7 linked regions of the Danio rerio genome follow. The protein of the gene in region 4 purifies or fractionates together with the protein of the main gene of each other region. This does not show direct contact. Links are inferred from orthologs where the notes say so. Each region holds a gene or a part of one and is shown on either strand. Other genes may lie near its edges. The genes, in order: ikbkg, chuk, ripk2, map3k7, card11, ppp6c and cyld.

Evidence for each region.
Region 1: the proteins of map3k7 (region 4) and ikbkg purify together in Homo sapiens (affinity purification with western blotting; 8 studies listed by BioGRID and IntAct, with this or other methods). This does not show direct contact. The link is inferred for Danio rerio from reciprocal best matches to the Homo sapiens genes MAP3K7 and IKBKG.
Region 2: the proteins of map3k7 (region 4) and chuk purify together in Homo sapiens (affinity purification with western blotting; 9 studies listed by BioGRID and IntAct, with this or other methods). This does not show direct contact. The link is inferred for Danio rerio from reciprocal best matches to the Homo sapiens genes MAP3K7 and CHUK.
Region 3: the proteins of map3k7 (region 4) and ripk2 purify together in Homo sapiens (affinity purification with western blotting; 4 studies listed by BioGRID). This does not show direct contact. The link is inferred for Danio rerio from reciprocal best matches to the Homo sapiens genes MAP3K7 and RIPK2.
Region 5: the proteins of map3k7 (region 4) and card11 purify together in Homo sapiens (affinity purification with western blotting; 3 studies listed by BioGRID). This does not show direct contact. The link is inferred for Danio rerio from reciprocal best matches to the Homo sapiens genes MAP3K7 and CARD11.
Region 6: the proteins of map3k7 (region 4) and ppp6c purify together in Homo sapiens (affinity purification with western blotting; 3 studies listed by BioGRID and IntAct, with this or other methods). This does not show direct contact. The link is inferred for Danio rerio from reciprocal best matches to the Homo sapiens genes MAP3K7 and PPP6C.
Region 7: the proteins of map3k7 (region 4) and cyld purify together in Homo sapiens (affinity purification with western blotting; 4 studies listed by BioGRID, with this or other methods). This does not show direct contact. The link is inferred for Danio rerio from reciprocal best matches to the Homo sapiens genes MAP3K7 and CYLD.

What each region holds. Positions count from the first base shown.
Region 1 is NC_133198.1:21,496,692-21,501,250, reverse strand, and holds the start of ikbkg (NF-kappa-B essential modulator), read left to right. Parts: upstream 1-1,542; 5' UTR 1,543-1,785; intron 1,786-4,230; 5' UTR 4,231-4,234; coding exon 4,235-4,418; intron 4,419-4,559. UniProt on the Homo sapiens protein: Regulatory subunit of the IKK core complex which phosphorylates inhibitors of NF-kappa-B thus leading to the dissociation of the inhibitor/NF-kappa-B complex and ultimately the degradation of the inhibitor.
Region 2 is NC_133188.1:28,581,806-28,585,895, forward strand, and holds part of chuk (inhibitor of nuclear factor kappa-B kinase subunit alpha), read left to right. Parts: intron 1-1,082; exon of another isoform or gene 1,083-1,204; intron 1,205-1,452; coding exon 1,453-1,557; intron 1,558-1,687; coding exon 1,688-1,782; intron 1,783-2,375; coding exon 2,376-2,493; intron 2,494-2,595; coding exon 2,596-2,665; intron 2,666-2,758; coding exon 2,759-2,847; intron 2,848-2,926; coding exon 2,927-3,016; intron 3,017-4,090.
Region 3 is NC_133177.1:7,877,626-7,882,261, forward strand, and holds the start of ripk2 (receptor-interacting serine/threonine-protein kinase 2), read left to right. Parts: upstream 1-1,352; 5' UTR 1,353-2,640; intron 2,641-4,636.
Region 4 is NC_133195.1:26,768,677-26,772,766, forward strand, and holds the end of map3k7 (mitogen-activated protein kinase kinase kinase 7), read right to left. Parts: intron 3,916-4,090; coding exon 3,800-3,915; intron 807-3,799; coding exon 626-806; 3' UTR 348-625; downstream 1-347. UniProt on the Homo sapiens protein: Serine/threonine kinase which acts as an essential component of the MAP kinase signal transduction pathway. Plays an important role in the cascades of cellular responses evoked by changes in the environment.
Region 5 is NC_133178.1:40,597,912-40,602,001, forward strand, and holds part of card11 (caspase recruitment domain-containing protein 11), read left to right. Parts: intron 1-990; coding exon 991-1,128; intron 1,129-4,090. UniProt on the Homo sapiens protein: Adapter protein that plays a key role in adaptive immune response by transducing the activation of NF-kappa-B downstream of T-cell receptor (TCR) and B-cell receptor (BCR) engagement.
Region 6 is NC_133180.1:32,608,080-32,611,465, forward strand, and holds the end of ppp6c (serine/threonine-protein phosphatase 6 catalytic subunit), read left to right. Parts: intron 1-858; coding exon 859-1,068; intron 1,069-1,758; coding exon 1,759-2,007; 3' UTR 2,008-2,665; downstream 2,666-3,386.
Region 7 is NC_133182.1:37,739,019-37,743,108, reverse strand, and holds part of cyld (ubiquitin carboxyl-terminal hydrolase CYLD), read left to right. Parts: intron 1-2,093; coding exon 2,094-2,482; intron 2,483-4,090. UniProt on the Homo sapiens protein: Deubiquitinase that specifically cleaves 'Lys-63'- and linear 'Met-1'-linked polyubiquitin chains and is involved in NF-kappa-B activation and TNF-alpha-induced necroptosis.

The sequences.
Region 1 (4,559 bases), on a different chromosome or scaffold from region 4:
TGCACGACTAACCTAGATTGGGTACCCGACCTTTGTTTGAAGGTAATATTATTCTAAATTAAGTTCATATGGGAAACCATGGGCTTGGTGAAAACCAAAGTTACTATAGAGTCCAGTAGTCGGGTACATTTATATTAATGCCCTAACCTCTAATTAGAAATGATGATTGTCTTAACTCAAAGGTGTACATCTAAGCGGGACTAACTAAAGTATTTTAGAACGAGCGCGCTGGTAGCAGCCATCTAAAGTATTAGTCAATTTACCTCTGTTTAATATTCAAGACTGACCGGAGTGTGACCGTGAGGGACGCCTTCGGCCAAGGCGATTTCTCTGAGCGACATGAGCACCCGAATGAACGGATGTAATAGTTACTAGTGAAGACAAACGGTTCAAACATTTATCTAAATTACATATTGACATAATCTTCTTAATGTTTTATAATTGGAGTCAGATAAAACGAGGATAAATATATTAATATTCTAAACCACCTCATATTAAAATTGGAGTCAGATATGAGTTAAGTTTAATATAAATCAACATTGTGCACTGGAAAGACCGAACATGCAGTGAACCTTCATCCACCATTGGATACCGTCATTGAACCAACTGGCTGGACCTTACAAGTGGATGAAAACATCCCCAACCCTACATAAAGCTTAATCAAAAATATTTTCTCACCAACAAGGTCAATGAAGATAAATAAATTGAATCAACAATTTTTTTAAATTGATCAACAAATTTTATCCCATAAAACTATTTTTGAAAAAGTTTCATGCTAATATTGATGTAAAATGTTCATTTTGTCAATTTTATACAGAAACAGTTTTTCATTTATTTTGGGAGTGTAATTATGCTTTACAATTTTGGGAACATATTGGCTCATTTATTAATGATAATATACAATACAATGTTTCTGTTACTTTTAAAGAAATTATTTTTTGTTATGAATCTGCCTCTACTAAGAGAAATGCTTGTTTTGTTATAAATTTAATTTATTTTCTTTGTAAATTCCATATCCACAAATGCTAATTTACTAATACTAAACCATATTTTCCTTTTTTTTTTTGCAAAATTTAGTCATTATATACATTTATTTTAATTTTCTAAAAATAAAAAAACAAACAGAACTATTTCAATTCGTAATGACTTTAATTTATGTTCTGTTATTGCTTCTTAAATGTCTTACCCTCAAGTTTATATCATGTTCTTTATTCTTTTTTCTTCTCTCTTACTCTCTCGTATCTCTTTTTCATTGACAATGTAATTCATATTCTGTATTGTAAACAAATATTGCTACAAAGTTGTCAACTGTTTTTTTGCAAAAAAAAAAAAAAAACTACATAAAGGTTTCCAAAAGTGAAATATATTAACATATGGGTTTTCAGAAAAGTAAGCGTATATGGATATCCTGAAGACATGAAAACAGTTAAATCCTAATTTTAAGAAGGCATCGCTCAATAACTTCATTTTGACTAACTTATTTGCTGTCATTTTTGTCTTCCCATAATTCCCCTACCCGGAAACAGCACGCAGCGCGGAAGTACACGGGGGATTTCCTCGACAGTGTGGGCACCTGTCTGAACTCTTCTAGACGTTTTCATTTGATATACTTTATCAATCTCGAATTCTCGATTCAGACTTTCCAGCTCGGTGGTGTTGAAGATGTTGGCCTACCTGAGCGTCCGTGGCTGACTTTAAACCTGCCTGTGTTTCCTCGGCGGAAGACCGACAGACAGTGAATCTGTGCTAGCGCAGAGTCAAAACACTGTTAACGGCGTAAAGAAGGTAGTGATTACTCTCATATTTTATCATACGATATGTTTATCAATGTCTTCATGTGTATGTAATGAATGTGAGTCGTGTTAGTGTGTGATTTTAAATGTTTATTGGTTTAAATGCGGTAAAGCTAGTTGTGTTGTTAGCTGAGCGCGTCCATCACGAGCCTGTAAACAAAACAAAACCGAGTCTCGTATATCGGATAACTGCTAATTTCAATCACAGTATTGGACTTAAAGTGTCTTTGAGGATTGAGGTAAAATTGTTTTTATATTCGTTCTTTCTCTTTAATAATATAATTTCAGAAAAGTATTCTTTGCGAATTCTAAATAGGGAAAATCATAATAAGTAGACAAAGATGATCATAGTACAACATTGTACACAGTCAATGACATAGTGCTAACTGTTAATGTTGTTTTTAAATCATACTAACATGCTATTTCAGACTTAATATTCAAAGTAGCGTGGTAAACAATATGGGGACAGTGTTACAAGTTATCAGTGAATGAATGTGCAAATTTACCTCAGTCTTTTAAACCTCGCGCGTTTGTCTTTAACTTGTGAAATAATCTTTGTTTTGACAGCGAGATATCATGACATCGACTTTGTTTTCAACTTTGATATTTGATATTTCTTTTCAAATGTTTTAGAGGTCGTTAATATGGCGAAAGTGTCATTGAATGACTCATAAGTTATCTGTGTCTTGTTGAAAAGTGAAACAGTAAAAGCAGAATTGAACGTGAGACATGTATAAAATGATATAGCTTTACATGTTAAAGCTAGTAACATGAACAGGTACAGGTATTATCATTTACATATTGTCAAAATGTGGTTACTGGTAACATTTTACAATATGGTTCCATTTGTTAGGATTAGATAACATGAGCTTACTCTGAATACAATTCAATTAATTTCTATAGCGCGTTTACTATGTAGATTGTGTCAAAGTAGTTTAACATAGCAGTTCTAGTAAATGGAAACTGTCAGTCCAGTCTTCTGAGTTGGTTCAGTTTAGTTCGGTGTGGTTTAAATTTCATGGCTGAAAGTCCAAACACTGAAGAGCTAATCCTTTGATGCGCAGCTCCACAAGTCCCAAACCAAGCAAGCCAGTGGCAGCAATGACGAGGAACAAAACTTTACTAAATAAATTAAGTGAATGAAAAAAATAAAAAATCCTTTAGAGAAACCAGGCTTAGTTGGGCACAACCATTTCTTTTCTGCCCAAACTTCCTGTGCAGAACTGAATTTTTTTAAATGAAATTTTAGGCTTTATTTATAAAACATTTACACATAAATTAGTGAAATCAAGGTAGTTCACTTAAAAATGAACATTTTGTAAACATTTACTTACTCGCCCTCTACTTGTTTCACATCTGTTTGAGTTTGATATACTGAAGAATGCTGGGAAAAGCAGCCATTGACATACTTTCACTTTTTCTACTAGGAATGTCAATGTTTTTAATAAAAGTTTAGAAACACTTGAGGGTGAAGAAATGGTTTGGGTGAAATGTCACTTTAATATTATTCAATGGATTCGAGCTAACTGTCTTAATATTCTAACTAATTCTATTAACTATTTTAATAACATTACAAGTTGTATAATTATTCAACTTTAGTATGTTTTACAATTGTTATTTTATTAACAATTTAAATAAGTTAATAGAACTTTAAATGTAAAGTTATTATAAAATAATTTTGTGGTGCATATGTCATTTTAATATATGGAGTTTTGTTTCCATTTTAGTTTTATTGATTGTATTTAAGCTGTTAAGTTTAGCCTGCTTACACTGTAAAAAATGTAATAACAAAGTCAAGGCAACATATATTTTTATGTTGCTTTTATTTTAATTAGTTAGTCAGCTTTCAATTATATTGTAACTTATACAAAGTTTATTTTTATACATTTTAGTCAGTTTAATTGATTTTAATTTAAGTTTAATTTAGTTAAGATGACTACAAAAGTTCATTTAATTTTCATTTAAACAGTTAAGGCAGCAAGTTTTTCTTTTTCAATTTACTTGTTTGTTTTAGTTTTGTGTTTACGTGCAAGCAATGTAAAATTTTTAGACCAAACAGAGATAACAAATATTTATGAATTCAATTGCAAAAGTCACAAATACAGGTCATAATTGATATAAAGTGTACTACATGTTTTCAATGATTTGAAATACACAATTGAAATGCGTACACCATTAATTTCTTTTCAGAAAACTTTTTAAAACTATTTTTACAATGATTCCTAAATAGTAATAATAAACGTATTACTCATTGCTAGTTAAAGCATGAACAAATGGGACCCTGATTGTAAAGTGTTATCACCATTATTATTTATCCACCGCAGAAATTATTCTAAATTTATCTGAATATTTTCATCCAAGAATCTTAAAGCACTGCAGTAGTCTTGGTGATTAAGAGCTGTAGATGATCAATGCGGTCTTTTGTTGTGTCTGTCAGGATCATGGTCCAGCCGCAGCCGTCCGGTGGCTGCACTCTGCAATATGAGTTGAACGGAGAAGAGACCGCAGGTTCAGAAGGTCAAGTCTCACTCATGGCCAGTTCACAGGGCTCATTGAGGGTCCCTGCTGATTTAGCTGGAAATGAAATCGTTCAGAAACTCATAACGGACAATCATCAGCTACGTGGTAGGTCTAAATGATTTCCTGTAATACCAGTCAAAAAACTGAACAGGGTGTTTTTGTTGATGTTTAATAGAAGTCTTTTCTCCTTACAAAGGCTGCATTTCATCAATCATAAATGCTATATAAACATTTATGTGTTGCAAA
Region 2 (4,090 bases), on a different chromosome or scaffold from region 4:
AGAAAAATGCATTATGACTAAATATTATGACAACTTGTTCAACTTCTTTTATATAGAATATATATCTCGACATTAACTTTTTTCTCACACCCCACTGGTCATTTTTACGAGACAAAATTTTGTTGTTGAAAACTGTAAATTTGACTTTTGCATGCAAAAAGTACTTGAGTAGGAGACATTTTACTCGATTTGGGTCATTAAAATAACTCTGACTACCAATATAATGATATAGGTAGCCTATATCTGCTGTAGTAACTTAAAACCTACAGTAGTTTGACAAAAAAAAAAAGACCAAAACAATACCCATTCTTGTCTTAAGGAAATTTTTATTGAGCATTTTTTTGAAGAACAGTAAGTTCATGACATGTCAAATATATAGTATATTCTGCTGGTTTTAAACATACATACATAATAATAAATACAGTCATGTAACAACCATAACATTACCATTGTGTGTGTGTGTGTGTGTGTGTGTGTGTGTGTGTGTGTGTGTGTGTGTGTGTGTGTGTGTGTGTGTGTGTGTTTGTGTTTGAAGAGGTATATTTCCATTATTCCAAATTAAGCAGGTGTGAGGAGAATAATTGCGGAACAAATTTTCCAGTTCACATGAAATTATCATTTGAAGATCTGAAGAAATTCAGGTCACCGACCTTGTTTTCGTGACAAGTTCCTACGTCCTGAGTTCAGCTCCAAGAACTTTACTTTGCCCATGCATACAGCATCTGTTAAGACCGACCGATCCTAGATCAGCCACAAGAAACTCGGGCGTCTTTTCACGCTCTGCGCGTGCGTGAAAATTGTTTCGCTTTTGACTGGAGTAGCAGCTGACTGGCGTGGCCGCCGTCAACAACAGTTAACATATAAGTGAGCCAGTCAGTGATACTGTATTTAATCATAATTCAGGCCAGAAATATTTAGTTTTTTAGAAATTCACTTGCGATCTGGTATTTTTTCGTGCCCAGTGTTATGGAAAGCTGACATTTGGGGGCATGTGAGACTGCAAGCTAACTGCTCATGTCGAGATGTTTACGTGTAGCTAGTTAGCCAGTTAGCAAATCTAAAATCCGACCCGATAGCTCGTTTAAGGATGAAATGGACAGCTCTGCCGTTTCCTATGGATTAATTCGCTCATTTTACAGCTCACTGAATTCTCCACATTATATGTGGCTGGTTAAAGCAAGTTAGAAACACAAACGGACGCAAGGTAAGTCACCGGCTGACACTTTGGATTAGCTCGCTTGCTAGCAGTGCCCTAATGTCTAAGTAAATATTATGACGCAAATGAATATTTCGTATTTATGAATCCTCTTTTGTATTGTTTACACCGAAGAAGCCCGTAATAGTTTCCTCAATAGGGCCCAATGTACATAGATCAAACGGCAGCAGCTTTCACAAAGTGGAATCCAGTGATTTTGTATTATAAACTTATGATGAAATGTTTGATGTGTACAGATGGAGAAACCCCCTTTCAGACAGAATCAGGTCTGTGGCTCATGGGTTATGAAGGAGAGGCTTGGAACAGGAGGATTTGGCCATGTCTATTTGTATCAGAATCAGGTACAACGTTTTTATTTTTATTTTTACTATTTATACTATAGATGTTTTGTTGTTGCTTATTTATTTTACTTGTAAAGACTAATGTTGGAGTTTTCACTCTTGGTAATACAGTTTTTTTTTTTGCTTGCAGGAAACATCAGAAAAAATAGCTGTGAAGCTCTGTCGCCTTGAGCTTAATTCAAAAAACAAAGACAGATGGAGTCGAGAGATCCAGATTATGAAAAAGTGTGTACATCTATTATAATCAAATGATTTATTTGTTTTGAGAATTTTACGTGTATATATACACGTAAAATATATGTATATTTGGTCAAGATATAAAATTTTGTCTTAACAATAATCTTGACCAAATGCTATTTAATGAAAAGAACTTGCTTTTTTGTTGAAATCTTGGTAAAAATCCTTTCAGACCTTAAAAGAAAAAACAAATATTAACAATTCGTACTGAAACCTGGTTGAACATTTTTTGTTTTTGTAATGGCAATTTTTTACATACATACACTTTCAGGAATTGAAATAATTATTTAGCATAATAGATGTTTATTTAACTAAAGAATATATTTGTTCTATCCTGTGCTTATTTAAATATTTATAAAATTTAAGTGATTGCACTACATCCCTACATTTTTACCTGATTAAACACATAGTAAGTATAGAAGGATAAAGCAAAGTTTAAGCATATCAAAATACATTCAATCAGTGGTTTGAGGCCGCAGCATGATCCTTATTTACAGTACATAAGTGTCTTAATATTGTGTGTTTGTACACCTTTAATTGTTACATTACTTAATCTAATCTTTTTTTATCCTACTTCTAAGGCTAAAGCACCTTAATGTTGTCACAGCAAAGGATGTGCCTGAGGAGATGATGCACATTGCCTTGAATGATTTACCACTTTTAGCCATGGAGTATTGTTCCAAAGGAGATCTTCGTAAGGTGTGTGCGTGTGACCATAGGCTTTTCTTTTGTATCTGTCAGATGTGCTCTTATATTAAGTTCATTCTGACTCATTTCTGTTTTTTAATTCTTTTTTTGTAGTTGTTGAGCAAACCTGAAAATTGCTGTGGGTTGAAAGAGAGTGAGGTGTTGTCTCTACTCAATGATGTTGGTAATGTGTCAAAGCCTGTTGCTTCTGTTTTTAGTATTTTTACCATCAATAGCTGAGGGTTGTGTGTCAAACTGAGTGTTTTCTTTTGAATAGGTTCTGGAATCCAGTACCTTCATGAGAATAAGATCATACACAGGGATCTCAAGCCAGAGAATATTGTGCTGCAAGAAATTAATGGAAAGGTATTTACTTTTTAGTGGTTAGAATTTTATTCTATAGACATGCTTTTCAAACATGGGTTATGTTTTGTTGTCTATGCAGCTTGTTCACAAGATAATCGACCTTGGTTATGCCAAAGACCTGGACCAGGGGAGCTTATGCACTTCATTTGTGGGGACTTTACAATATCTGGTATGTTTTAACCTGCATTATTTAGAAATATGACAGTTATGGCAATAATCTCACATACACTTTCATATGCTGGAGATTTTTTATTAAGATGCAGGGAATTTTTTGTGTCTAATACCTGTCAGTTTTGAGATTTTGGAGATTGTTCTTTGTACTCATGGGAAAAAAAACATCCACAATGCAATTTTAAGTGTTTATTTTATACTAATTTATAATTATAGAAAAAAATACCATTGTTATTTTAATAACATATTTTTTAAGGCTGTTACCTCAAAATGAGTTTTTCACTTGTAGTGATCCCTGTTTTTACTCCAGTATCACTTACACCAAATTTCCTTACAGTACAAATTACACCAATATTCCAAGTTTTATTCCTATAGGTGTTCTAATGGTTTTTACATTAGGTTTAGATTTATATAAGATATGTCTGGTTATGTAGAAATAAAAACAATAATATAAAATAATAAAACCAAAAAAACAGTAAAAAGCTTTTTTTCCATAGCATTTCCAGGGATTGAAATTGTGACCATTTTGGTCGCATATGCGCCCACAATTTTATCTATGCGACCTCAAAATATATTTGGGAGCATTTGTGTAAGAGCATAAAATTGTTGTGTGCAACCAGTTTTTACTGCAAAATGTTCACCACATGCACGGATTGGGTAGACATTCACACAGAATGCATCTTTGCACTTGAAACGCAGTGCGCAGGAAGGTTTTTAAACAGTTGTCAACATGTCAACTTTGCGTCAGTAAACAAAACCAAGTCTGTAATGCTTGCCCCGCCTTCACGCTTTTCTTATTGGCCCTCTGCTCTAGAACTGATCGCAAGTGGATTGGTTAATATCAGCTGTCAGTCACAATCACTCAGTCAGTGTTTTATGGCTTGGGATGACAGGGAGAGCTACTACCTTAAAAATGTAAAGCACTGAAGATGGGAATGAAGATAACACTGACAGATTTTGTTTTAGAAACCATGGCATCTAAAGTTAGAGATAATGACACATCTTAGTAGTGATCATGTGCTGAATGTTAATCCACCATCTACACTTTTCGAAGTTTGGATGTTTTTTTGCT
Region 3 (4,636 bases), on a different chromosome or scaffold from region 4:
AATGGTAATAATAAACGTTTTCAAAGCGATTTAATACTTTCGAAAATCACGATCGCTATATATATGTCCGTGCCTAATATCCGATGGCCAGAAAGTGATTCGTTTTTTTATAAATTGTTAAAATTTTGGTATTTGTTATGTAGCAAGCCCAGAAATTGTTGTGTACACTATGATTTTATATAAAATTAACTTTAATGCGTGATGGGCATAATCCACTCAAATGAATGGCTGCTTGGACCCGGAAAGAGTATTACATACGTCACCAACACGTAATCACTTAACAAGCAGGTAGGCATATGTAGCTCCGCCTTCTTTTGAAAAGAGCACAATCTCACTTGAATTTAAAGCGACAGTCACCAAAGCGGCACAATTTCAATCAAAACTTAAAAGGGGCAGTTTTGAATGGTTACAAAACATTATTTGTGGGGTATTTTGAGCTGAATCTTCACATACACACTGTAGTTTATTTATTATATTTTTTTAGTTAAATTAAATTGAGTGCTGATCAAAGATTAATCGTATCTAAAATAAAGTTTTATCATTATAATTGTGTGTTAAATATATTAATCATCTATATGTGATAGACACACATAAAAACAAAATGATACAAAATTTTGTTACATGGATAATTCAATTTTTAAACAAATTGTTAGGGGCGGCATGGTGGCCTAGTGGTTCGCACTTTCGCCTCACAGCAAGGTCACTGGTTTGAGTTCTGCTAGACCAGTTGGCATTACTGTGTGGAGTTTGCGTGTATTCCGCGTGTTGACGTGGTGCTCCGGTTTCTTCCACAGTACAAAGACATGCACTATAGGTGAATTTGATTTATTAATTGGCCGTAGTGTATGACTGCGTGTGTAAATGAGTGTTTATGGGTGGTTCCCAGTACTGGGTTGAGGCTGGAAGGGCATCTGCTGCGTAAAGCATAGAAAAGTTGGCAGTTCATTCCACTGTGAAGACCTCTCAAATAGAGACTAAGCCAAAGGAAAATGAATGAATAAAAATAAATTGTTACATATACATATATTTTATATCTAAATATAAATAAACATATTCTCAAATATATGAATGCATGTGTGTATTCATATATACATAATAAATATAAACAGTAGACACAAGTCAAAAACTAACTTTTATTTTGGATACGATTTAAATTTTTGCCCAGCAGCACTAATAAGGTATATGCAGAATGACTTTTAATTAGTCAGTAACCTGAGTCAAGCACTAACGTTGAACTGTATACTGTTACAATATCGGCGCATTTAAGGTCTGTTTACTTTAAAAATCAGCAACCTCAACTGTCTGAGTGATAACCGATATAAAGTGGATCTCAGAATGTACAAGAAGCCGACTTCCGGTTTGGCTGCAGAGGGAAATGGCAGGTTGAGCGCTTAGCTCTCGCAAGTCGGCGTTATATTTACCCCCGTGTAATTATTTTAGATTTTTAAAAAGTGATTTTCCTTCATTGATATGACGGGGGGAAAGAAAGGCAGAGGTAAAGGGGCGCAAAGTACAACGAGTAACCACCCACACCGTGCAGGCCTAGACGAGGAGGACGACATGCGGGAAGAAGAGGACCGACAAAATGGAGGCGAATCAACATCTGAGAATGTGTCCACGGGGCTTGAAACCTTAAGCAAACAGATCAGCGATCTGAAGTCGGAACTTAAGGAAGTCTTAAAAACATTCAAAGACGAAATTAAGCATGATATGAGAGAAGAGTTCATTGAGTTCAAACAAGAAGTTAACCAGCAACTTTCAACGAACATGCTAACCATGCAAGAACACGGTAGGAAAATTAACGAGATGGAGACGCGGATCGATGACACCGAAACATGGAGTGCGGAGGCCAACTCCGCCCTTCAACAGGCAATAAAGGATCAACAGAAACTAGAAGACAGGTTGAACGATATTGAATCGAGGGCTCGACGAAACAATATCAGGATCCATGGTGTACCAGAGAACGCTGAACAAGGCTCGGTGATAGAATTTGTTGAAAAAATGCTCCGCTCCGAATTTGAGCTCGGCGATGTGGACTTGCAAATACAACGCGCGCACAGAGCCCTGGCGCCTAGACCGGGCCCAAACTCGCGTCCGAGGTCCATTATAGTAAATTTCCAGCAGTACAGCATCAAGGAGATGGTTATTCAAAAAGCCTGGCGAAAGAAAATCATGATGGAAGATAAACCGCTGTTTTTCGACCATGACTATACAGCCACCGTTCTCCATCAGCGCAAAGCGTACGCCAATATTAAAAAGGCTCTTAAAGAAAAGGGCATCCGTTTTCAGACGCCCTTCAATCGGATACGCATTCACTGGGAAGAAGGAGTGCAGGTGTACGGCAGTGCTGGGGAGGCAGCGCAGGAGCTGCGTCGGCGGGGATACAGCGTGGAGATGCCCGTGAGACCGCCGGGTAAGAGCCACCTGTTGGATCGTCTCCAGCGGGCTACATCGTGGCAGCGAGTGGGATCAACCACGAGTGTGGACACTGCCAGAAGAGCTAAAGAACGCCTACGGGAATTTGAACATGGTCGCAGCAATGTTTAAAAACCCGCATTATAGCAACCCTTTACATAATGATGTTTAATGTATGTGCGCCGGCTGGCGGGATGACGAGGTCAGCTGTGCCATTGGACACACGTAAGTGATCTATGATACACTCTGTAGCGGACTCATTGGTGAGGGGGCCCTTTCCGGGAGAGAGGATTTCCCCCTCCTCAACTGAAAACGTGAGAACGTTCTTCAGACTTTGGAAGTCTTTATTCTTTTCTGTTATAATGCTTGTTCTAAGCAGTTCTTGGCTTGTTTCTGTGTTACAGTTTATTTTATTTAAGGTTTGCCTGTGGAAACATAGTGGTGTAAGAATGACTCTTTTTGATGATGGTACAGTCTACTGAGGTTAAGCTAATGTCTTTAAACGTGAACGGTTTGGGTAACCCAATTAAAAGGTCAAAGGTATTGACAAAATTTAAAAAAGAGAAAGCAGATATTATTTTTATGCAAGAAACTCATCTCTCTCAACAAGAGCATGAGAAATTAAAGAGATTTGGCTTTAAAAATACTTATTACAATTCATATGAGCATTCACATAGAAGGGGAATTGCTATTCTTGTTGCTAATAAATTTAAATTCGAATTATATAAGGAAATAAAAGAAAAGGATGGGAGATATCTTATTGTTAAGGGTAAAATTGAAGAGGAGTTAATAACTTTAGTAAATGTGTATGCTCCACCCGATACTAGTAAACTGTTCTTCAAATCATTAATGGATGTAATTGTACTGGAAGCAGAGGGTATTTGTATATGTGGTGGAGATTTCAATGTGGTACTAAACCACCATTTAGACACAACTAATAGCAAAAGAAATGGGAGCAAAATATCAAAATTAATTAACACAGCCTGGGATGACATAGGATACTGCGATGTCTGGCGACATATTAATCCATCTCTCAAAAACTACACTCATTACTCAGCTCCCCACCGTACATACTCTAGGATTGATTATTTTTTTATGCCAAAAAATGACTGTTATAGGGTGAAAGATTGTAGCATTGGAGTAGCTGAGGTCTCTGACCACAGCGCTTTGTACCTGACAGTTCAAATAGAAGGAAGGAAGAGAAAGACAGGTTGGAGGTTGAATGTGGGTTTGTTAAATAACAAAGCAAATACAGAACAGATAAAATTAAATATAAAAGAATATATTAGGATAAATGATAATGGAGAGGTAGACCCATCCATAGTATGGGACTCATTGAAGGCTGTGATGCGTGGGAATTTGATTGCACTATCAGCGCAAAATAAAAAAAAGAGAATTAAGGAGTACAATACCCTAACATCAGACTTATTAAATGTGGAGCAACAACACAAAATAAACAGGGATCCAAACCTACTATCACGTATGCAGCAAATAAGGAAACAGATTAACAGCCTGTTGGAACAAGATGTTGAGAAGAAAGCTCGATTCTATAAGCAGACATACTACGAATCCGGCCCTAAAGCAGCAAAATTGCTTGCCCGACGCTTACGTAAACAAGAAGTTGATAGCACTATTCATAGAATACGAGACCCACAAACAAATAATTTGGTTTATCATCCACAGAAAATAGAGGACATTTTTCTAAATTATTATAAACAACTGTATACGGATGCTTCTAACTCTAAAATGGAAGCGACAAGAAATTTTCTTAATGAACTAGATTTACCAAGTATAGGCAAAATACAAAATGATTTCATTACAGCAGATTTCACACTAGAAGAGATAAATAATGCGATTGGGAGACTAAAAACATCTAAAACACCAGGTAGCGACGGCTTTCCAGCCGAGTGGTATAAAACTTTTAAAGAAATACTAGCCCCACTTCTGTTAAAAACATTTAACTGGATTAAAACAGAATGTAAACTTCCACCTTCATGGAACGAGGCTATCATCTCAGTACTCCCAAAGGAGGGTAAGGACAGGGAATTTAGCTGCAATTATAGGCCCATTTCAATTCTTAATATAGATTATAAGATATATACATCAATTATAGCCAAAAGATTAGAGACTATCCTTCCTGAATTAATTGACGAGGATCAGACAGGATTCATAAAAAGCCGTCAAACACATGATAATATTAGGAGGACGCTGCATCTTATAG
Region 4 (4,090 bases):
TGGGCTAAAATGAAAAACACACACAAAAGTGAATGTAACTAAATAAAATATAAATCTAAAAATGATAAAATTAGCTTTTGTATGAATCTTAAAGCCACTTCACTTTCACATTCTTGAGGGCCAACACCTTTTCGAGGGGAATAAGGCAAACCCCTCAGGGAATTTTGGGATGTGGAAGGGGGGAAATATGACATTCGAAAAAATCTAATTTGTTCCTTTAACATCCTCCATCTGCAGTTCTGATGTAAAATGCAGGAGTCCTTGCATTTGTGTTTGCTGGTTTGTCTGGATATCTGAAGATCTGCATGTTTATCAGATGTCCGACTGTATTTTTTATTTACTTTTTGTTCTGCCAAACGCAGCATGCTTGTGCAGTTGAGCGCAGGGTCTTGCTACTGTTTGCATTGGTGGAAATGACCCATGTTCTCCTGCTCTGTGGAGCACAAGTCCTACAGTTTCCATCTTCAGAGATTTCATGGGTGCATAAGGGTTGTTTTAAGAGGCGCTATAATGGAGTTTCTGGGTCAAACTATAGCTAAGCCCCAATGTTTGGATTGGGGAGGTGGAGATACCGGGGCTGTGGTTAGGATAGAGTCAGTCTGGCTCTTTTTAATGATTAGAGGGTTCATGAGGTGCCCTGTCTCTTCTGCTGCTGCGCTCGGATCAGCTCCAGTTGTTTCTTGCATTGCTGGTAGTAGGTGGACAGACTCTTGTTCTCCTCTATGAGCTTCTTTTGCTCCTGAGCGAGGCGACATGCGTTCTGTTGATCCTTTTCATCTTGGTCTAGTTCTGCTATCAGCTCTTCCCTGTAGAGATGGACAAAAGACATTAGGGGATGAGGGAGAATGGGGAAAAAACAAACAAACAATGCATATACTTTAGCTAGGCCCACACAGAATCTCCGCACACAGATTTCTGCAGATTTTTAGCCAATTTTTAAGTCTATGTATTTATTTGTGTGCAAATTTATATTTATTCAGTTTTTAAATTAAATTCACTTATATTATTGTGATATAATATTAGTAACATTAATATATTCATATGATTTGTTTACAATACACTTTGTAAAGTAATATTTTCTGTAATTTAGTAGATATATTATATGACAGACTTGCTTTGTTTACCAAATAAGTGGATTTAAACATTAAATAATAGTTATAAATGTATTATTTTTTTTATTTCATATATTAAGTTTTTAGTTACGATTCTCCTAAAATTCCACATAAATCTGTAGATTTTTTACAAAATTCTCCACAGAAATAGCAAAAACGTCCACAGATTTTGTCCGGCCATGCCTATGGCTAAAAATACAAATACTCTGGTTTTTAGTTGTGATACATTGAAATTAAAAGTCTTGGTTAAATAAATAAATAAAAGAATCAGGACAAACTGAAAACCAAAACTAAAAATTCTTTATTTTAAAATAGCCTTTTATTTTTAATGTATTTCATAATGAACACTGGCAAATGCAGTTCTTTTATTAACAGTTTGAATGACAGAATCGTACCCAATTTATTAAAAATATATATATATATTCATCAAATTCTAATAAAACTTGTTTTCATGGTAAAATTTTACAATAAAGATGTTTTAATTTACAGTATAGTTCTTCCATATTTAATCTAAAAGCAAAATGTAAATACAGTGGGTATAGAAAAGAATCACCCCCCTTCAAAATATTTACATTTTGTTGCATTGTAGCCTGGAATGAAGATAGACACAGTTTTGTTTTATCTAGGTGTAATTATTCAGTACAATGTATAACATCCATGTAAAAGATATAACACCAACAACAGGAAGCATAGAAACAGAATTCACTCAGTTGTGAAAAGGATCACCCCCCTCCTAAAAAATACTTGTAAACTCAATCAGATGTAGCTAATCACCTTCTTAACGACACACAACACAATTTAACTTTCATTGGTGGTCAATTTGATCAGCTCAGCATGAAAATAGCTTTAGTGTAACATTTCAACCCCAGGTAGTGCAACTAAAGCAAACCATCAACTATGGGTGGCAAGGCATTGTCAAAAGATCTCTGGGATAAAGTTGTGGCCAGGCACAAGTTAGGAGATGGATACAAAAAAAATCAAATGCTTTATCAATGCCTAGAAGCACAGTGAAGTCCATTTTTAAAAAGTGTAATGTATTTGGTACAACACAGACCCTCCCTGAATCAGAACGTCACTCCAAACTGGATGAAAAAGCCAGGAGGAAACTGGTCAAAGAGGCAACCAAGAGGCCTACAACAACTCTGAAGTAGTTGCAATATTTTATGTCAAAGAGTGGTCATTGTGTGCATGTGACAACAATATCAACGATTCTCCCCAAATGTGGCTTGTGTGGGAGGGTTGCACGAAAAAAGCCTCATCTCAAGAAAAGCAACATAAAGTCAGAACAGAGCTTTGCCAAAACCCACCTAGAAGCCACATGAAAAAAGTGTCATGGTCAGTGACTAAAATTGAATTATTTGGCCTTAACACCATATGATATGTATGGCAGAAATTCAATGCAGCTCACCATCCAAACAACACCATTCCTACCATAAAACATGGTGGTGGAAATATCTTGTTATGGGGTTGTTTCACTGCAGCAGGAACTGGAGAACTTGTCAGGATAGAAGGAAAAATGGATGAGGTAAAATACTGACAAATTCTTAAGGAAAATCTGCTGCCCTCTGCCAGAAGGTTATCAATGGGAAGAAGGTTTACCTTCCAACATGACAATGACACGAAGCACACAGCAAAACTGACCACACCGTGGTTGAAGGAGAAAAAGGTGAATGTCCTGGCATGGCCAAGTCAGAGTCCTGATTTAAAGCCCATTGAAAATCTGTGGAATAATTTGAGTACTGCAGTCCACAAATGGACACCATCAAATTTAACTGAACTTGAACAGTTCTGCAAAGAGGGGTGGGCTAATATTGCAAAGTCTAAATGTGCAAAGTTAGTAGAAACGTATCGCAACAGATTAAAGGCTGTATTTAAAGCAAAAGGTTATTCAACCAAACGCTGAAACAAGAGGGTGATCCTTTTTCCAACCAATTAATTTTGTTTTTTTATATGTAAATTTTTTTTCTGACATTTTGGTGTTATATCTTTTGGTTGGGTGTTATAAGCTGCACTAAGTAAATACAGTTAGATTAAACAAAAAATGTGTCTGTCTTCATTTCAGGCTACAATGCAACAAAATGCAACTATTTTGAAGGGGGGTGATTGTTTTCTATACCCACTGTAATTGTATAAAGAAAAAAAGGATCTATGTATGAAAATTAAGTACATTTCATATGTAGGTATTTAAATAACATTTATCACATCTTGTCATTATATTACAATTATCAAGAATGATCAATGATAAAAAGTTTGGTTATGTGGTAATCCCAGTGTTATTTACGTATTATTATATACTATTGCATTTTATGTGAATATTTTGTATTATCTATAATTTTTATATTGTACAATTGTTAGTTTTGTTACTTCTTGTTAGTAATTCTGACATGAGTTTTGCCTTCCTATTCTTACTTTGATTTGACCATTTAGGAATAGCTATTTTTGTTTAAGTTTTAATTAATCTGCTTTTCCAGTTTAATATTTTAATACTTCAAACACATTTCACTCAATTATAAAAAGGTAAATCTTAAAATTTTATACAAAAAAAGTCCAATTTACAATGTGTTTTACATATTTAATTTCAAATTTATATGAATGGATATGCAAAGTGTGTAAAAGTTACTGATGAAAACCCCAATTCGTATTATACATGCTGATTATTTGAATGGATTCATATTCCTCTGACTTACTTTCTCTGTTTGAGAAGTGCGATCTCTGTCTGCACCTTCAGGTATTCCTGTGCCATTTTACAGTGCTGCTCAAACACTGCCATCGACTCTTTGGAGTTTGGACAAGGGGCAAGAGGCTGCAAACAAACACAGATTCATTCATCAAATGTCACAGATTTTGGCTAATTAATCAGAAATGCAAAAGTGATATTTATACCCTTCGTGGACTGAACGCCAAGGTGATCAAAATGTCTCTCTCAATTTGCAGCAATGCATTTATAACCCAATTACACCATATAAATAGCATATAAA
Region 5 (4,090 bases), on a different chromosome or scaffold from region 4:
TAAAGTGATAAGGACATTTCACCATTAAAGTAACAAACAAATATATAAGAATATATATGAAATATATAGGAATATATTAGGATTTAAATCATTTAAAAATTATAATATAATTTATAATAATTTGAAGGTAAGAATTATCCCAAACCTGATTAAAATAAGCAAATAAAATTTTTAATGAAGTATTTATTCATTCATTCATTTTCTTTTCGGCTTAGTCCCTTTCTTAATCTGGGTTCGCCACAGTGGATTGAACTGCCAACTTGTCCAGCGCATTTGACACAGCGGATGCCATTCCAACTGCTAAACTCTCATACACTCTCATTTACACACATAAACTAAAGCCAATTTAGCTTAACCAATTTACCTATAGCGCATGTCTGTGGGGTAAACCGGAGCACCCGGAGGAAACCCACGCCAACACAGCAAGAACATGCAAACTCCACACAGAAATGACAACTGACCCAACCGAGGCTCGAACCAGCGACCTTCTTGCTGTGAGACGACAGCACTACCCACTGCGCCACCGTGCCACCCACTTTGAAGACTTTTTTATTAAATGAAGTAAATATATGTGAAAATAAATAATTACATACATAAATAAATACATACATACATTATAATGATTAGAAAATGCAGTATTGTTGCAGTAGTATAGAAATCTATTATTTTCCAAGAATGGGGGATTATAATCATATTTGGGAACAATCATATTGGGGAACATTGCAAACAAAACACCCTAATTTTATTGATTTGATGTTTTTTGGAAAAGCTAAATTTAGTGATATACAATTTTGCTAATTTTACTTTTGACTTGATTGGCATTTATTTTTTTAACTGACATGACATGAAAAAAACCTACAGTACATATTTAATTAAATTAAAAGCGACTTCAATTTTGTCGAACATGTACTATATAAAGTACCTTAATAAAGTCGACATTAAGACATTACTCTGTATACTTTTTTAGTTTTGCTTGTGGTTTTGTTTCAGGCCGGCTGCTGGATATCCTGCACACGAAGGGAGAGCGAGGCTATGTGGTTTTTCTGGAGAGTCTTGAGTTGTATTACCCTGACCTCTACAAACTGGTCACGGGGAAGGAGCCGACACGCAGATGCTCCACTATAGTCGGTGAGACACTTTTAAATTAAAATACTGCACATATAAAAGATCTATGACCATGTTTTAAAATTGTTTGTTGCCTTGCACCTGCTTCTCCTGTGGGATGAGTATCTGCAATAAATCCCATTTCCAAATCCCATTTTAAGCAGTTGCTTCTAATAATAATTAATACATATAATAAATAAATAAATAAATAAATAATAATATGTAAGCACCTTGGTGGTACACTAATAGTATCAGAAGGTGCTATATAATTACCATACTCGTACAATATAACATATAATTGACATATCAAGTATACTACAGTGCAGCCGGAAAGTATTCATATCGCTTCACTTTTTTCACAATCTTTAATGTTACAGTCTTATTCCTAAATGTATTTAATTCATTTATTTCCTCAAAATTCTACAGACAATAGCCCATAATGAAAGTGTGAAAAAAGATTTTTTGAAATTGTTGCAAATTTATTAAACATAAAAAACCTGAAAAAACACATGCGTATAAGTATTCACAGCCTATGCTCAATACGTTGTTGATGCACCAGTGGCTGCAATTACAGCCTCAAGTCTTTTTGAATATGATGCCACAAGCTTGGCACACCTGTCTTTAGGTGTTTTGCTGTACCTCTCAAGCTCTATTAGGTTGGATGGGAAGCGACGGTGTACAGCCATTTTCAGATCTCTCCAAAAATAAGATTTAGGTCTGGGTTCTGGCTGGGCCACTCAAGGACATTCACCAAGTTGTTGTGAAGCCACTCCATTGATATTTTAGTGGTGTGCTTTGAGTCATTGTCCTGCTGGACGATGAACCGTCGCCCCAGTCTGAGGTCAAAAGCACTCTGAAGCAGGTTTTCATTCAGCATGTCTCTGTACATTGGTGCATTCTTCTTTCCCTCCATTCTGACTAGTCTTCCAGTTCCTGCTGCTGAAAAACATCACCACAGCATGATGCTACCACCACCATGCTTCACTGTAGGGATGGTATTAGTCTAGTGATAAGCGGTGCCTGGTTTTCTCCGAACGTAATGCCTGGCATTCACTCCAAAGAGTTAAATTTTAGTCTCGTCAGACTAGAAAATTTTGTTTCTTATGGTCTGAGAGTCCTTCAGATACCTTCTGGAAAATTAGAGGCGGTAAGTGGCTTCCGTCTGGTTAATCTACCACACAGGCCTGATTGGTGGATTGCTGCACAGATAGTTGTTCTTCTGTAAGGCTCTCCTCTCCACTGGAGCTCAGACAGAGTGACCATTGGGTTATTGATCATCTCCCTAACTAAAGCCCTTCTCCCCCGATCACTGAGCTTAGAGGGCCGGCCAGCTCTAGGAAGAGTCCTGGTGGTTCCAAACATCTTCCATTTACGGATGATGAAGGCCACTGTGCTCATTGGAACTTTCAGAGCAGCAGAAATTTTTGTGCCTTGAGACAATCCTGTCTCGGAGATCTACAGACAATTCTTTTGTCTTCATGCTTGGTTTGTGCTTTGACATGCAATATCAACCCTTGGACCTTATATAGACAGGTGTAAGCCTTTTCAAGTCATGTCTAATCAACTGAGTTTACCACAGGTGAACTCCAATTAAGCTGCTGAAACATCTCAAGAATGAGCAGTGAAAACAAAATGTACCTTAGCTCAATTTAGAGCTTCACAGCAAAGGCTGTCAATAATTATGTACATGTGATTTTTCAGGTTTTTTATTTTTAATAGATTTGCAACAATTAAAAAAATAAAAAATAAATATAAATATATATATATATAAATATATACATATTGTCATTATGGGGTATTGTGTGTAGAATTTTGAGAAAATAAATGAATTTAATTTATTTTGGAATAAGGCTGTAATATAAAATTGAAGCACTATGAATACCTTCCGGATACACTGTATATGGTGTTATTGGTGCTTTTTTCAGTTCCCACTTCTTATAGCTATTAATATAAATAAGAACTAGTTCTCAATTACACTGACTGGTCAAACAGAGGTTATAATCATATACTACTATGTACTAACATCGGTAAATGAATGATTTGTGTTCATATTGTGTTGCAAGATTAGGGTTAGGGATAGGCTTGGTGGTATGGTTAGGTTTATGGGTGGGTAAAGTGTAAAGCAGGGGTCTCAAACTCGCGGCCCGCGGGCCACTTGCGGCCCTCAGTGCAATACTTTTTTCCCTAGGACTTCAATAAGTCAAAGTACAGGTCTAGACTTAATGATGATCATCTTCAAGCCATACTGAGGGTCTCAACTGCTTCCGCTCTAAAGCCAAATGTGGTTCAGATTTGTGAGAGGAAGCGCTGTCAAGTCTCTGGCAGCAAAGAGTAGGCAAAAGATGCCATGTTCAGAAGAACTGTTCATAATCTTCACTCAATGTTCTATTAATGTTCAGGACACTTCATGTTCAGAAGAAATAATTAAAACTGTTAATAATGACATTTGAGGACTTTTTTTTTGTGAAATCCCTTATGCGGCCCAGCCTCACCCAGACTTTGCCTCCTGCGGCCCCCAGGTAAATTGAGTTTGAGACCCCTGGTGTAAAGGATAGGTTAATGGGGTAGTCATATGTAATTAAATAAAATATTTACAGCGGTAACTGCGTGCAGATCTTTAAAATATCGGTTCAAAATAAAACCTGTATGTACACAATAAGTGCATTGCACCAAATGATCCATGTAAGCACATGGTAGTTAAAGTCACTTGATATAAGGTGGTACACCTATTTCTCATTTACACTGAGCGGTAAGGTTCAGCATAGTACAGTACAGTATGGTTCACCTCGATCAGGCTTTCATTTCCACTGTCACTAGTATTCTTAGTTGGTAGGCATGGTGTGCACCAGAGAGTTGCAATCAACGTCATCCACATATCGTACAGTATCTTTTGCATACTAAAGTTCATTATTTCAAACGTAGACACACGCAAATAGAGTGGGGAAGCAGTTCCCTTCACATTTCCATGCTTTATTACACGTGGCAT
Region 6 (3,386 bases), on a different chromosome or scaffold from region 4:
GCCACGTCTGGTGTGAACGCAGCATGAGACCACTATAGGTTCACATCTGTAGTTCACTGAGGGTTTATGTGCGAAAGCACTAAGCGCCACGTCTGAACACATTTTTACAAATATGAGGCCTATGAGCCAAAATATTTTTAAAATCGTTGTGGAGGTCATAGTCGAATCTAAATTTTGATTAATTGCACAACCATGGTTACCTATTATTATTATTATTTTGGTGGACTTGTAGCGAACTTGACTTCAAGTGACTTTACTTTGAAAAGTAACTCTTTATGTCCATGTCTCCCCTGAGTCTTGCACTGTAAGGCTCACTGGAAATTTTTCTTGCGGCTTTGGAGCTGCGAACATCCAAACGTACAGTAGCAGCCACTTACTTGACAGCAGGGAAAGGCACAGCCAATCACACTGTGTCTGTATGCTTTTGGGGGAGGTATAGAGCTCAAGTAGAGAACATGATATTACCTAATAGAGAACAACAGACAGTTGGTTCGTTGTAGTTGATTCTATTTTTTTTTTATGAATTAGGTAGCTTCTGTAGCATGTACATACAATGGATTTATTGATTATGAATGTTATTTCAAATGGCTTTTGATACTATGAATCTGAATATTTTTTTATTTTTAAATGGAAAGAACTGTCATTAGTAGTTTATAGAATTAAAAACAAATCAATTGATCTTTTTCAATTGTGTACATAAATTACACAGATTCGGGATATTATTTATTGTTGCAATACATCATTGCAGAACTAGCATAAAATGGTTGCAATATATTCAGTGCTTCAAACTAAAAATCATATCGATTGGCTAGTTTAACTTGTCAATTATCTAATAATTGTTGTTTGTTTCTCCCACAGTTGATAGATGAGCAGATCCTTTGTGTACATGGTGGCCTTTCACCTGACATCAAAACTCTGGACCAGATACGCACCATTGAACGCAATCAGGAGATCCCTCACAAGGGAGCATTTTGTGACCTTGTTTGGTCCGACCCAGAGGACGTGGACACCTGGGCTATCAGTCCAAGAGGAGCTGGCTGGCTGTTTGGTGCTAAGGTCACTAATGAGGTAAAAATCGCTCTCAAAGTGCACAGTCTGCTTTGTTTTTGGCTTTTATAACACTTCCCTATGGAAGATACTATTGCTCTGTAATTACAGATTGAGGTCTGCTAATTATTTGTTGATTCTAGGCATGGGCCTGTATAAGTTTTGCACGGTACGATAAACTTGGATAAAAATACCACTGTTTCACGTTGTTGCGATTACTGCTTTAAAATAAGTTAACTTTAATTTTTTTTTTGCCGTATTAAACACAAAATATTTAATTTTAGTAGACATTTATAATATTTTGGAACACTAAACATGTCAGGCTAAATAATTAAAATGCACCATTGACCTCTGCACTCTTCATATGTTTCAAAAACACAGATTAATTTACAAAACACAAAAAAAAAAACATTTAAAAAAAGCTTGCATATACCTTAGAAATGGTACGACAGTAAATATTAGCGGTTTTAAAATCAAACCATGGTAAACCCTGAAACTGCTTATCATCCCATGCCTTGTCAATTTTCTTTGAACTATGCAGAAACTGAGTTTTTGTGTGGCTCATACTCACTGCCTAAGTAATAAAGATGGAGACTTAGTAGTTGGCATCTGCATGTACATTCTAGTGCACAGTGTCTGAGATTGTAGTAAAAGTAAAAACCTCACTTCATGCATAACCTAAATCTTTTTATTTGTTTTTTTCTGTTAAAGTTTGTTCACATCAACAACTTGAAGCTGATTTGCCGTGCACATCAATTGGTTCATGAGGGCTACAAATTTATGTTTGATGAGAAGCTGGTGACCGTCTGGTCGGCCCCAAACTACTGCTACCGCTGCGGTAACATTGCCTCCATCATGGTCTTCAAAGACGTCAACACACGGGAGCCCAAGTTATTCCGGGCCGTTCCTGACTCAGAAAGAGTCATACCACCGAGAACGACAACACCCTATTTCCTCTGAGGTCTTCATTGTTGCCTATGTCTCGCCCTCTCCTTTTCATGGTTGTCATGAGCTCTTTTATTGTCTTTATTTTCTCTGTGTTGCTTTTTTTTTTTTTTTTAACAAATATTTTTGTAAAGATGGAAGTGCTCTCAATAATAACAACAGAAAACTATGGTTACAGTTCTGAACCCTGTTGAAAATGTTTTAAGTTGGTCGTTATTCGGTCAGTATAATCTTGTTAATGTGAGCGTAATGAAGTGAACATCCCCATGCTGTACTTGCAGGCCTTTTAAATGTAGACCTAAGAGCCGTTGACCATTTAATGACAAGCATTTATAGTGTAACACCTCGCCTGATCAGAACAATGTGGTGTTTGTGTTTTTCAGAGCACAGACCAGAAAGAGAGTCACTAAAACAGCTATGTTCTGGTCAGTTTGCTCCCAATTTCTCCAAGACAAAGACACTTTTGTTTTTCGTAGCTTTCAAGTGTTGAAAAGGGTTGAAGCAATGATTAGACAACAGGACAAAGAAGGCTGTGATTATTTTGTACATTAATATAAATTGTATTGATTTAATCAACTTTTTTTTCTCAGATTTGTTGTATTTTATTATTGTAGAAAACGGCAGCCCATTTACCAATTAAATATTGAGAATAAACGCCTTTATTATTAAGTTACATTTCTGGTGTTGTGTCCTAATCAATCGAAATATTTAATTACACACACAAGTTTAAATGCACTAAAATAACACACCATAGGGAGGCGCGCCTTCCTCCCTTGTCCATCCAACAGGCAGAACCGTGGAAGGCAGTTCTACGCTAGTCCCGCCTCAAAGTGTAAGTTGTATTCAGATTGACACCGCAGCCAACCAATGAAATACCTTGAACGTCACTAACAGACCGGAGGGAATCTGACAAGCACGCTAGTTTGAGCGGGTTGCCACAAAACAGTCAATGAAAATTCAACTGGCCAGACTGAACCGTCGACCGCAGCAGATGCCGAATGGCAGATACTCCCTGCTTTTCCCTGGGAGGGTGATTTGAATGAGTTGGATGTAAATGACGGTGCGCCACCGCACTGGATGTCTAGATTTGTGTCGGGGAGAGATTTACAAGCGCGCGCTACCCGGAGACGCCGTTCTTGAGGAGCTGAAACAGAAGAAGCTGCTCTGAACTACATCAGTCTCAGGTTGGCTCTCAGATCACTGACTTTTTTAGGGGTACTGCACTCAGAGTAATACGCTAGGGGAAAAGGCAAACACTGCCCAAGTTAACAACTGAGATAAGTCAGTCAGACAAACTACCACTTAAAAGATTTTATGATGGTTTAAATGCCGTAGCGTGTGTGTGTTTGTGTGATAAATATATACATACATATATATATATATACACACATATA
Region 7 (4,090 bases), on a different chromosome or scaffold from region 4:
CAATGGTAGCTTAAACGTTAAAGAATGTGTGCTATTAGGCGCATACAGGCACGTGCACACATAGGGCTCAACCTGTGCAGTGCACATGCCCTTTTAAGTCTTGGATAGAAAGTGCCCTTCCAAAATGATCAAAAGTGCCCCCGCGACGCGGCACACCCTCGGTCCCGCCCTTCAGTAGGCGCGCGACAACACCGCTCTTCAGAACGCGCGCAACAACAACCCCCCCCCCCCCCACCCCCCCCACCCCGCTCTTCAGAACGCGCGCAACAACAACAACCCCCCCCCCCCCCCCCCAGCTCTTCAAAACGCGCGCAACAACTACCCCCCCCCCGCTCTTCAAAAAATTTCTCCTGCACATGCCCTTTGGATGGTCTCTGCACGGCCCTGGGCGCATAGTTTGCTTATAAAAAGCTTGCAGGACATCGCGGCGCCAGAGCAATCACTTGCATTTTTTCAGTGGGAGCAATTTAAAGTTATCCGTCATTTTAGCTCACAAAGTACGAGTAATACATCAAAAAACGTTACAGCGTTTTTATAAAATAAAGAAAACCAAAATTATGCGCTTTCTGTCGTCAGGTTTTTGAACAGGAGCGCTTAACAAAATGAAGCAAAATGTATATGCCTCACAGACATAATAAATATATTTATAGAAAGCTTTAAATTATTACTTAACGAAATAAAACAAATCGAAAACGAAAAAACTCCTTCATGTAATCCGTAAAGATGAACTTCTCTCTAAAGGCGAGTCCAAGAGGAGATTGCCAGTCAGGATCTTTGCGACTCAGAATAAGTTTATTAATAAATAATTATGATATGATCCTTACTCTTTCCTCGACACATTCATGGTTATTTGTTTTTGCCGGTGCTTGGGGCGAGTTTTAGCTTATTGTGTGCGCTTGAACGCGGTTTCACAGTAGCAGTTTTAACATGGAGTGACACGACATCTGACGTACAGATGACACTGGCACATGCCACTGAGTGTAGTGACACTTCCGGTGGCAAAACCATATTTAATCATTACGCGACTTTTAACCTAATTTATCGCGTCGCAAGTTAGTTTATTTGCTGAGCTACTCTTTTAATTTAAACGCATTTATTTTATGTTTTCGTAGTCATACTTCCGTACGTAATATAGTCATTTGACAGTACATGTCAGTCAAATTTATTGTGGCATGCTTATGTATGGGAGGGGTTACACTTATCTGTTGTACTGTATATTATTGCATCCTGGCAGTTCCTTTGTTCCCTACAATATGGACTTCTCTATGTTTTTAATTCATTCATTTATTTTATTATTTAACTTATTTTCATTTTAAGGTATTTTAAATAATATCCTTTAAAAAGTTTTAATAAAATGCATGTTGAAAACTCATAACATATATGCATGTAAGATAACAGGTGTCATTTGTCTAATGATTTTTAAATATTAAAGCAAAGAGACTTATAAGATTAAGGTGCTTATAACGTGCTTATACTGACACCTACTGGCACATGTCACAAGATCACTGACACTGGCATGTGTCTAAAAAGAGCCACTTGACAATAATGATGATCAGGGTTACACATAGGCTGTTAATATATTTGGGCCCAGGGGCCCACAAGTTATGTGTTAAAAGTGCGTTGCATACATAGTACCCCCACCCCTACTCACCTCAGGGGCAAGGAAAAAAAGTTCAGGCTCAGGAATTTTTTCCACTATCAGCCCTGTATATATATATATATATATATATATATATATATATATATATATATATATATATATATATATATATATATATATATATATATATATATATATATTATGGTCAATGTCTACCTGTTTCCAACCGTCTTCAAAATATCTTATTTTTTATCTTACAGAAAAGTGGAGGGTATGTATGTAAATGAGCCCAGAAATGTTTTTTGAGTGAACTATTCCTTTAAGAACAAACACAATTCACGCTTTTCATTATCAATTCATAGCATTAGCTGTGATTATCACAGATGAATTCAGATTGAATGATCAGTTCCTGGTCCTCCACACTGATGCATCATCTGCTCATCATGACATTTTCAGTGCAGCCTCTCATTTCTATGACCTTATTTCTTAACAGTCGGCGAAGACCCAGCCAAATCCCTGACCGACATGCCGCCAGACTTCAACCCAAGCTCATCTCCATCTCGAGCTCCGCCTACCACCACCTCGCTGTCCAATGACAACAAGTTCCACTCGCTGCCGTTCAGCTTGAGCCGAAAAGTTGGCCCCAATGGCAGCATGAGCCATGGGCCCCTTTCCCTATCCGCCGGCTCAGTGATGGGGGAGCAGCCGGAGCTCCTGCCTGCTGCTACACCTCTGCAGAGGGCTTCATCACCACCACAAGGCCAGCCAGGTTTAGAGGTCGGGTCAATGGTGGAGGTCAAAGAGAACCCACCGCTGTGTGGGGTCATCCGGTGGGTTGGTCTCCCTCCAGGACTACAAGAGTCACTAGCTGGACTAGAGCTGGTTAGTACATTCGTGTGTGTTTGATAAACTGTAACTATATTATTAAGGAAGGTTAATACGTTACTAATCAAGAATTTGGGATCAGAAGGGCATTTTGCTTAATAATTAATAACTAATACTATTTGTCAAGAAATTGTGTGTTACATTTGTTTATTTTCTGTTTCAAATGACCCTTTTTGTTTTCTACTGTCTATTCATCAAAGAATCCTGAATGCTTCTCGATTTCCACAAAAAAGATGGAAGAACAATTAAAACTTTCGGTTTTCATGTAAAATGCCAAACATAATTTTGAACAATTATTTTTAGCATTCTTAAATGAACCAATGCAGCCTATTAGAATGGTTTCTGAATGACCATGCCATAATGATGCTGAAAATTTAGTTTTGCCATCACAGGAATAAATTATATTTTAAATGATTTTACATTATTCATTCATTGATTCATTTACCTTCAACTTAGTCCCTTTATTCATCAGGGGTCGCCACAGTGGAACAAACTGCCAATTTTACATCAGAAAAATGAAATTTGTGTCTTCTATACTAAATATACTAAGGGGACCTATTTGGCAAAATATATTCCATAAATAATTCCTATAATCTAGAACGTCTAGTAGTGCAATTAAAAAGAAAATGGGAGGCAGAACTGGAGATAGAATTATCAGAAGACATGTGACAATCCATTTAGATAATATTTACTCCTCTTCAATTCGTTTAAAACATACAGTTAAACAATTTAAAGTAGTACACAGATTACATTGGTCCAAAGTGAAACTAGCCAAATTTAAACTGAATATAGAGCCTAATCGTGACAGATGTAAAATTGAGCCAGCTACACTCATATGCATCTCATATGTTTTGGGCTTGTTCAAAATTAAAGGATTTCTGCCAGCTACTGTAATACTTACATTTTTCTCTGATGCTTTAAATACCTATATAGAACCTGAGGCCATAACTTCAATATTTGGTATCACATCACAGTCCTTATGTTTTAATAAAAGTTGGATAAATATGATTGGCTTAGCTATGCTTTTAGCTAGAAGGTTAATATTGCTCAAATGGAAGAAAAATATCCTTCAACCTTTGAGAAATGGCTTATGGAACTTGACAGTAGAAAAAATATGATACACTGTAAGAGGTTGTACTGATAGGTTTTTTCTCACTTGGCAACCTGTTTTAGATCATATAAAAATGATGGACCCTTCAGTTATATACATACATACAATTGAAATTAGAATTATTAGCCCCTCTTCGTTTTTTTTTTTATATTTCCCAAAATATGTTTGACAGAGCAAGGAAATTTTCACAGTATGTCTGATTATATTTTTTCTTCCTTAGAAAGTCTTATTTGTTTTACTTCGGCTAAAATAAAAGCAGTTTTAAATTTTTTAAACACCATTCTAAGGTCAAAATTATTAGCCCCTTAATCTATATATAGTTCTTTCCGATCTACAGAACAAACCATCATTATACTGTAGCTTTCCTATATATCTCAACCTGCCTAATTAACCTAGTTAAGCCTTTAAATGTCACTTTAAACTGTATAGAAGTGTCTTGAAAAATATCTAGTCAAATATTATTTACTGTCATCATGGCAAAGATAAAATAAACC